Bombyx mori: one gene and its partner. The protein of the gene in region 1 purifies or fractionates together with the protein of each later gene. This does not show direct contact. Links are inferred from orthologs where the notes say so. Each region holds a gene or a part of one and is shown on either strand. Other genes may lie near its edges.

Region 1 (4,541 bases):
ACCAGAATGTTGCTAACACTGGCCCTAGCAAGAGCAGTGCTTCGCAGAATCTACCACCGGATCGGAAACGCGACCCACTGAGAAGATCCGGCGAGAAACTCGGGGGCTGTGTCTGTGGGATATCACTCTGTTTGAAACTGCTATATTCATATCATTTCCACTTTCTACACTAGCGCTATCTTGAGTCTTCCAACAATGACTTGTTGTTTACAGATGAACACTTTTTCAACTTGTCCCATATACAAAATGGTCCTTACTTCTACCCTCAATAAACCAAAGGACGATTGTAGGTGGTTTTTTTTTAAATATCAATTTTATGTTCACAGGAAAAGATGATCTCAGTTCTCTGTTTGCGTCAGCCGAAGAATTCTCAACTCTATTAGAAGACACGGCCGCGAACAAGAAGCAGGGTTCGAGCCAAGCAGTCTCCAACACGGACAATTCGAGCTTAAAACAACTGGCCTGGGAAGATAAAAGAAACAATTGGATCAAGGGATACAACAAAAAGATTTTGGGAAACAATAAGAGCGGGGGGAAATTTAAACACAAAATGGCCGACAGAAAGAAGACGGCCGCTAAGAATTTTGGCGGGAAAATTAAAATGCAGGAGAATAAGTTTGCGGGTAAAGGAAAACGCAAAGGCGGAACGGCGAACGGACCTGGTGGGAAGAAAAAAAGAATGAAATAGTATTAGTCTTTTTGCATCGTAATAAAAAGCTAATAAATGGTTTTTTTTTTTATTATTGTTTTTATTATCATTCAATCCTTGAAATTACTTTAAGCGTTACGGCAGCCAAATTCTCGTAAATAAAATGATACGACTTAAATGGCATATCTGTGAGCACCTTACAAGAGTTTAATGACAGAAGTCATCGCATGGTGGCGGTTTTAAAATGGTTTTGCCTATATGATTTTAAAACCGTCTAAGAATGTGTTACTAAGTCAGGCGTTAAATATAGACTTGTCTAAACATCTATAATACCTAATGCTTAGTGTATTCCTTTCCAAGCGCATTTAAAAAGAGTGAAATCTAATAGGTAGTTCAATGGTGTATTTCATTCATAATCTCGTCTAATCACTTATCCCTGTATCCTAAATATAGCTGCAAAATTTTGCAAAACACGTTCTGAAAATGTTTAATATCTTCACTTTCAATCGATTGAAGTGTGCGATCTGTCATTTTAAACATACGCGGGGAACACCTGCCATCTTTATTCTCGTTGCATTTACAGATTATACACTAATGAAGTTTTATAAAATATAAAATAGTAGTAGGTATTTAAACAAGTATTTATGGTTCGACAAATGAATATTCTTTTCATTTCAATTTGATACCGAATTGATTACTGAATCAGTTTTTACAGACGTCTCTTAAAATCACAAAAAGCGTCCGGAAGTATCTTTTTCTAATAATAATCTAAGTACCACATTCAAATTGGTTGGATTTTACACAAAAGAAATTTTGTTTTTGGAACAAAACGCATTTAAAACTATTTTGTTACAATTCATTATGTTCAACGACATACACATTACGCTTGGAAAAACTTCTATCGATTATAGGTCTGTGGGATTATAGCTATAAGCAAGGTCAAGGTTGAAACCATAATATCAACAAGAGGTTCGACGCGCATCTGCTAACTTCACTCTATTGATATGACCTTGAAAATTTAAAACACTACGTTCAAAACAATACCACGTAACAGATTAATTTAGCACTCAAATAAATAAATGCAGATCAAGAAAACTGTGTTTTATTGGTAATTTTTTATTAATTTTTAATTCCATTCCTGTAAAATTCCAAATTTATTAATACTACAGTTACACAAACATTGTCGTATCTTGAAACTATCTCAGAAATAAATAACAATAATTCTAAATACGACGCACTACGACTCCAACAAATATTTATCTTTGAATAAAACATCGATTGAAGTCTTAATAAATTTAAATGTTACGCATGATCATAGCGAAGTGGCGCTTGTTTGTTGACATTACTACGCCGAGTAGCTACGGCCGTGCGCGCCATCGCGCCGTATCCAACAGTTTTAACCAATAAATAAACGAATTTCACAGTGTTTAAGCAAAATAACTTTGACCGAAACGCGTTTTAGTTGAATCTATGTGAAGTATTAGTTATAACGGACTGTTTTTCCAGTGATTTTATTGTGGAAAAAAAGGCGGGCTATCTGTGCACAAGTGACGATTACTAATCTATTTATAGCCGAACCTGTGTTGTGTTGCATATGTTTTCGTCTCTACAGCTGTTCTAGTAGAATCTTTAATCATTCCAATAAGATTTTTAGTGTAACAACAGAGTTCTAGGCATCCTAATTAGAAATTTTCTGTGAATGGAACAAGGAAAAACTGCATAAACTAGTTTGACAGCTCACCGATGCACACAGACGTAACGCGCATGTGTGCGTGCAAGTGATGTGAAATTCTTGCGATTATCGATTGGGAGATAATTTCAAGGACAAATGTTGTATTTTATACTGCTTCAATTCATTTAATATTTTAAAATATAAATCTACGATCGCATTATGGAGTCGCCCATTGTAGAGACGATGAGCTCAGAGCAGGGTCAAGGCCCCTTATCGGCAGGTTCAAATCAATTGTTTGCGACAGAAAACTTGGATTTGCCTGATGATACGTTTCGAATGGGCTTAGATAACTTTCATTTAATCGGCGAAAACGTGACAGTGAGCGAGAGGGTCACGTCCGTAGATACTGCTAGATCTTCGGTCGACACACCAAGCGTATTGCCCGACTTTAACATTCCTACACCTATGAACACACCGGTCAATGAGATTACGCCCGAAATTTTGCTGCCAATTTCAGAAACACCTAAAATCCCAACCGAGACCATTCGTAAAGCAGCTACCTTACTCAAACTATCGATAGTTAAGAAGGACGAGGACGATGTATTCGTGAAACCTTCGCCGATGACCGATGGCATGTCGCCGGCGAGAATGCTGCAATTCGAAATAGACGGAGCAAACAACGCGACCCCTACCATGAGAAGGGCCGTTGTGGACTTCGACTTCTTTAATAAGAATAAATTCGATGAATACTTCGAAGACACTCGACAGGACGTTAAAATTGCCTCGGAATGTAAAAATGAGGAGACGTTTAAAGAAACTGCAGTTATAACGAAGGCGAACACCGTGCGACACGAAATAGGCTATGGTAAGTAGTATCAAGTAGTTTGTTTAAAAGGTTTCCCCTGAATTTACTGCTAATAGCTTTTTTCCTACCTAAGCTGATAGCCTCGAGAGGCTATCTCAGCGAAACCTGGTGAGTAGGTGAGCTCACAGGGCTCATACCGGGAATGTTGCTAAGACTTGCCCTAGCAAAGGCAAGACCTCGCAGAATCTACCACCAGATCGGAAACGCGACCCACTGAGAAAATCCGGCGAGAAACTAAGTGGGCTGTGTCTATGGGTTAATTTACTCGTCGAGCCCTTCGTCTACAAACATACATACATATCGATAAAGCTAATAAAAGCGTCTTAAAAAAGAGGCATTGGCTATGGGATCTATCGCATTTGGTGTTATTGACAAATAGGTTGCAATCTAGACAAAGTTAAGCCTTGTTTTTTGAATTGGCGGGCAGTTTCAAGCACAATACATATCGCACGATAAAACCCTAAATCATTGGTTTTAAACACGAACTAAATTATATAGAGACAATATAATCGATACGGAGGACCTAGATAAGTCGTCCTCGAAGAAATGTGGCAACAGGTCAACAGTTGACCCAATAGGCAAATTATAAAGCTGGACTATTTAAGCATCGCAGTTTTCAAACTATGTAGGAGTGACGACGATAGACGATTTGAATACCAGTTTAAAGGAAACGAGTTTGTTATCGTTTTCGAAATGCTAAATTTGTGAATCTTGCAGCGGTATTTATCTATGTAGAAAAAAGCGGCAAAAACCTGTATCGTGCTGATGTACGTCTCCAGACATGCATATGCGCCAGAAATTCGCCGTGCAAAAATCACGCTCAGTTTCTGTTTTAAAAACGATATTAAAATTTCTTGTACACTGATGACCATGACGCAATTTGAGTTCTCTGGTGCGTCCCATGACAGATGCAGTTACTCGCTTTTAAGATTAAGCCTTGCATATCCCGGTTTTAAATATGAAATACAAGGACTTATTGAAGTGAACCTTTAGGCACGCTTTCAAATAGTTAGGTCTTTGCCACCGATTCGCAATGCAGTTTCACCGCTGATAACTACCGGGAAGTTACTCAAGTCACGCTATTATCTAAGCGATTAGAAAGATTTTAAACCGACACACAGGCAACATCTCTGTTTCCGTATACAGTCAAACCTGGGTAAGCGAGAACTGGATAAGTGAGAAAACTCTATAAGTGAGAGTAATAGCCAGGACCCGTCATTTTAAGCTCCCAAAACCTCTATTAGAGAGAAACAGAAACCTCTGTAAGAGAGAGTCGTTTTTCCCTCATGGACCTCCGTAAGTGAGACTGCTACTTATCTATACCTCTATAAGCGACAGTCGACCTTTATTTATTT
Region 2 (4,424 bases), on another chromosome or scaffold:
GGGCAGCATTATCCGCTCGGTGGAAAATCTCCCCTCCGTTGTTAAAAAATTCTAAAGACCTATTTACCAAAAATAGTAGTCGAATAAGAAAAAATATTTTCCTTTTCTCCCCGCACGAATAAGTACAACCATCCTGCTGCAAAGCAATCATGTCATGCGTCATTTCACCTTTGAAACAGGAGCATTTACAATAAATGAAAATGCACAAGCACATGTGTCAAACTGTGCGCTTTGATTTTTATGGGCTCCGAATATAAATAATAAAAGAATATTTTATAATAAAAGAGAATAACGTTTTTTTTTCGTAGCGAATTATCGGAGTTTTAGATTAAACTATGCTTTCTTGTAAAAACATTAAAAATAAATTTTAGAAATATCATAACATGAAAATACAACGTGCGCATTATCGCTATTAATCTTCCAGGCAACCGTAAGATGAACAAAATCATAGAAGAAATAATGATAGCTTGCGATGTAACAATTTAAAATGCTTAATTGACTGAATGAGATAGAAAAATATTAATTAAAATACAGCATTTTATGAATAAATAAATAAATAAAAAGACATAGGTACAGTTATAAATATGTACTATAAAGTATGTAAGTAATAAGAACTATTTTATGACAAGAAGTTATAAATAAGAAGAATATTATAAAAATACAGATTTAACGCTTTTTAAAAACGCTCTATGACGTTTTTTGTGGTAACTAATCATAAAAGTAATGTTTTCTCAACATCCCTTTACAGAATTTTAATACTGAGCCAATCTTGATCGACAAAGGAAGTACATTCCATGGCCGAACGGATTCAATAGTTAACGACTGGTCAAAAAAACTTGAGGATAAGCATCACAAAACGCAGGCTCTTAATTATAACATATTTTGGTAGTTAAGTACGATTGAAGATAATAGTGTTTTTCGATTTCCTCCAAATAGGTTGAAATCGTTCTACCTAGATGGATTTTGTAGCCGCCATTAGTATTTCAAATTACAATTTTAATACTGATGGAGTATTCTTGTTAAAGGTAAAATCCATTCGATATTTCTCACTAGTTATTCTCCCCACAAAATAACGTTATTGAAGTAGTACTACTTTGCGATCAACAATTTTCTTAACAGCTTAATCGGGAGACCCACTGCCTACTCCCAAACAAAGCTTCTAAAATCCCCGGAAACTGACCGAAAACATTAAGCTGACCTCTATAATCTTGTACATTCAACCATAGAGTTTTAGAGTTACATTGAAGCATTATGATCTAAGATTTCTTTGCCTCTCCAAATATCAAATAGAGAAACAAGAATGAAATCGATCAACATGTCATTTTGAAATGTAAGCTTTATGCTTTTATGATAAGAACTATTTAGGTTTAAATGCTTTAACTTGACGTTGACAGATCCTGACAGCTGAGAGAAACCAAACAAAACAAATATCTGCAGCAGCCGACGCCCAAACAATAATTATTTTCAGAAATATAAGGCGTGTCCAGGGCGTGTCGCGCTACCTAAAATAATAGTACTGTACCGCTGATCTTACTATTGCACACCACGACCTGGAGTCATTCGGACGTCCGCAACCAGTTAATATCGCTAGGTTATTACAGATCATTGTTTTTTTTTGTTTTTAACTAAAATTTTACAAACTTAACCATCGCATTTGTTAAATGGAGTGATTTTATTAAGTTCCCATCAGTTTTGGGCAAGGCATCAGTTAACAATGGTCTCTACACGGGGGCTACGATATAAATTCACTGAGGGGGAACGAGTCCTGTGCTACGAGCCAGACCCTACTAAAGCCAAGGTGCTTTATGATTCCAAGGTAAAATACTTCTTTTTTTAAATAATATTTTTTTTAAACAAAAAACGAGGAATCTACCAATATGTAAAAAAACTATATATGTTTTAAATAAATGAAGTAAAACCTTAAGGCAGAACCTTAATTTAAAAATATAAAAAAATCCTTTCATTTACTTGTGAAAATCAGAATCTGTTTTACTAAAGAACATTTAAAAGTTGACCACACCCAAAACTTTCTTTGTATATAATTAATGTTATATAATTACAATTCAAATAATAGAAATATACATAATATGGAAAAAAAAATAAGAGTGCTAGCTTTAAAATTTTTGATGAGAACATAATCCAAATAATGCATTTGCTTTTGGCATCATGTTACTTAAAAAATATTCCAATCAAATATTGCTTTAAAAAGCAAAGAAAGTTGCATAAAATATATTATTTTATTGATAGCCACACCTGGACCAGACTTGAGATGTATAATCTTAAATAAATTAATATATTACTATATAATGATACATGCTCTACATTATTTAGTAACTTTTTCAAAAACCACTTAAACTTGATTATCACAAAGAAACTGAATGAAAAATTATAAAATTTTAACATTTTCTATTATAGAGCTTTTTTTTTACAAACGTCAATCTTAATTTTCTATAAAATACAACAAAATCCTACCTAAACCTATCTGCTCATTATAATTGGAGCAAAAATATAGTAGGAAATGAATTCTTTATATTCATTTCAAGAATTTGCACGAACAAAGCAAACCGTGACCACACCCTATCTGCACATTGGAAGTACAACAACTCATGTGTAGTCAAATCATATCAACATTTTAATGAATATAATAATATGTATTGAAACTGAAAATATTTATATCCAAGTAATATATATTTTGAAAACATATTATAATAAAAAGTGAAATTTCCATTAGAATGTATCAAACAAAGAATTTATAGTATGTCTGTATTTTTTTTTTTGCTTTGATGAGTGGACAAGCTCACACCCACCTGGTGTTAAGTGGTTACTGGAGCCCTAGACATATAAAACGTAAATGTGCCACTCACTTTGAGATATAAGTTCTAAGGTCTCAAGTATAGTTACAACAGCTGCCCCACCCTTCAAACCGAAACGCATTACTGCTTCATGGCAGAAATAGACCGGGTGGTGGTACCTACCCGCGCGGACTCACAAGCGGTCCTACCACCAGTAAAAAAACATATTGAAAAAAAATTAATAAAATAGTGAAATTTCCGTTAAAATGTATTGAACAAAGAATTTATAGTGTGTCTAAGTAAAATACTATTTAATTATATCAATAAATAAACAGGTTCTTGAAGTCGTAGAGAGCAAAGACAAACGAGGGCGTAGAACTGTTGAGTATCTAATCCATTTCCAAGGATGGAACTCTTCGTGGGATCGCTGTGTCAGTGAAGACTTCGTTCTCAAAGATACAGAGGAAAATCGACAGCTGCAACGTGATTTAGCTGAAAAATCACAGCTTCAGTTGTAAGTATTCATCACTACATAGTATAAAACAAAGTCGCTTTCTCTGTCCCTATGTATGCTTAAATCTTTAAAACTACGCAACGGATTTTGATGCGGTTTTTTTTAATAGATAGTGATTGAAGATGAAGGTTTATGTGTATAATAGCATCCATTAGATAGTGGAGAAATCAATAATAAATTACAGTTTCCGAAGCGAAGCGAGGGCGGGTCGCTAGTAACACTTCAATGAATCTTTAATATGAATAAGTTTAATAAGTCGTTATAGACAATTTACTGTATTCTTATGCATTTTAGGTCTTAACTACTAAAATTCCTTTTAAAATTAATTAAATATTTTCCGATCAGAATTAGGCCTATAACAATTCTTATTTCTCGATTTCATGTCAATCTATGTTTTAACAACAAAAAATCGATTTTCGATACATAACATTTGAACATTGTATAAAATTTCTGCAGTTCATTGTCTGCAACAGCCACGCCCTAGGCAACGCAAACATCCCCGTTAGCTATTGCGCATGAAACCTAGCCACGTAGTACATACCTATAGACCTACGTACCTAGACATATATTAAGCGTATAATTCGAATACATGATGGCGTGTGTAATGAAAAGTATAATTTATTTGTATCTAGGATTTATTGTTTATTAAAAAACAATAAAAAAAATTAAATCCGCATTGTGCATCCTGATTTGCAAAGTGAATATTCCAAACAAAAAAATGCGTAATTGTAATGAAAAACCTTTGATTTTATTATTTTGTGAAAAACTATAGAAATAAAATTATAGAATTGCATCGCAGTATTATCGACATTGGGGTTTTTTTTGTTAGAGGGGCTTACTTGTACCGTCGGGAACGAAAGAAGGGTGGTAGTACAAGCGCCGCCGGGGCGGGGCCCGCCAAGCGCACCCGTCATGGCTTTAGCGACGACGGCTCTTCGACAAGTACCCAGCCAGACGGTAAATATAACCATAATCTATAGCACACCTAGGGGGAAGCGATCGTTATTAGCGTTCCGGAGAGTCTGCTACCTCAACATATGTATACCTATTATTTGATTGGAAAACGGCTATGGGGAGGGAGACTGTCTGTTGCAACTCTATCGGATTTTCGTAATTTA

What was found.
Region 2: the proteins of ribosomal protein S6 kinase alpha-5 (region 1) and Msl3 purify together in Drosophila melanogaster (affinity purification with western blotting; 4 studies listed by BioGRID, with this or other methods). This does not show direct contact. The link is inferred for Bombyx mori from reciprocal best matches to the Drosophila melanogaster genes JIL-1 and msl-3.

The regions. Positions count from the first base shown.
Region 1 is NC_085130.1:7,261,898-7,266,438, forward strand, and holds the start of ribosomal protein S6 kinase alpha-5, read left to right. Parts: upstream 1-1,741; 5' UTR 1,742-2,540; coding exon 2,541-3,186; intron 3,187-4,541. Other genes in the region: CCAAT/enhancer-binding protein zeta, read left to right, coding at 327-688. UniProt on the Drosophila melanogaster protein: Phosphorylates 'Ser-10' of histone H3. May regulate gene expression by establishing or maintaining the structure of more open chromatin regions. Also required for normal polytene chromosome structure, for oogenesis and for viability throughout development.
Region 2 is NC_085113.1:6,781,141-6,785,564, reverse strand, and holds the start of Msl3 (male-specific lethal 3), read left to right. Parts: upstream 1-1,492; 5' UTR 1,493-1,714; coding exon 1,715-1,816; intron 1,817-3,127; coding exon 3,128-3,306; intron 3,307-4,135; coding exon 4,136-4,263; intron 4,264-4,424. UniProt on the Drosophila melanogaster protein: Component of the male-specific lethal (MSL) histone acetyltransferase complex, a multiprotein complex essential for elevating transcription of the single X chromosome in the male (X chromosome dosage compensation).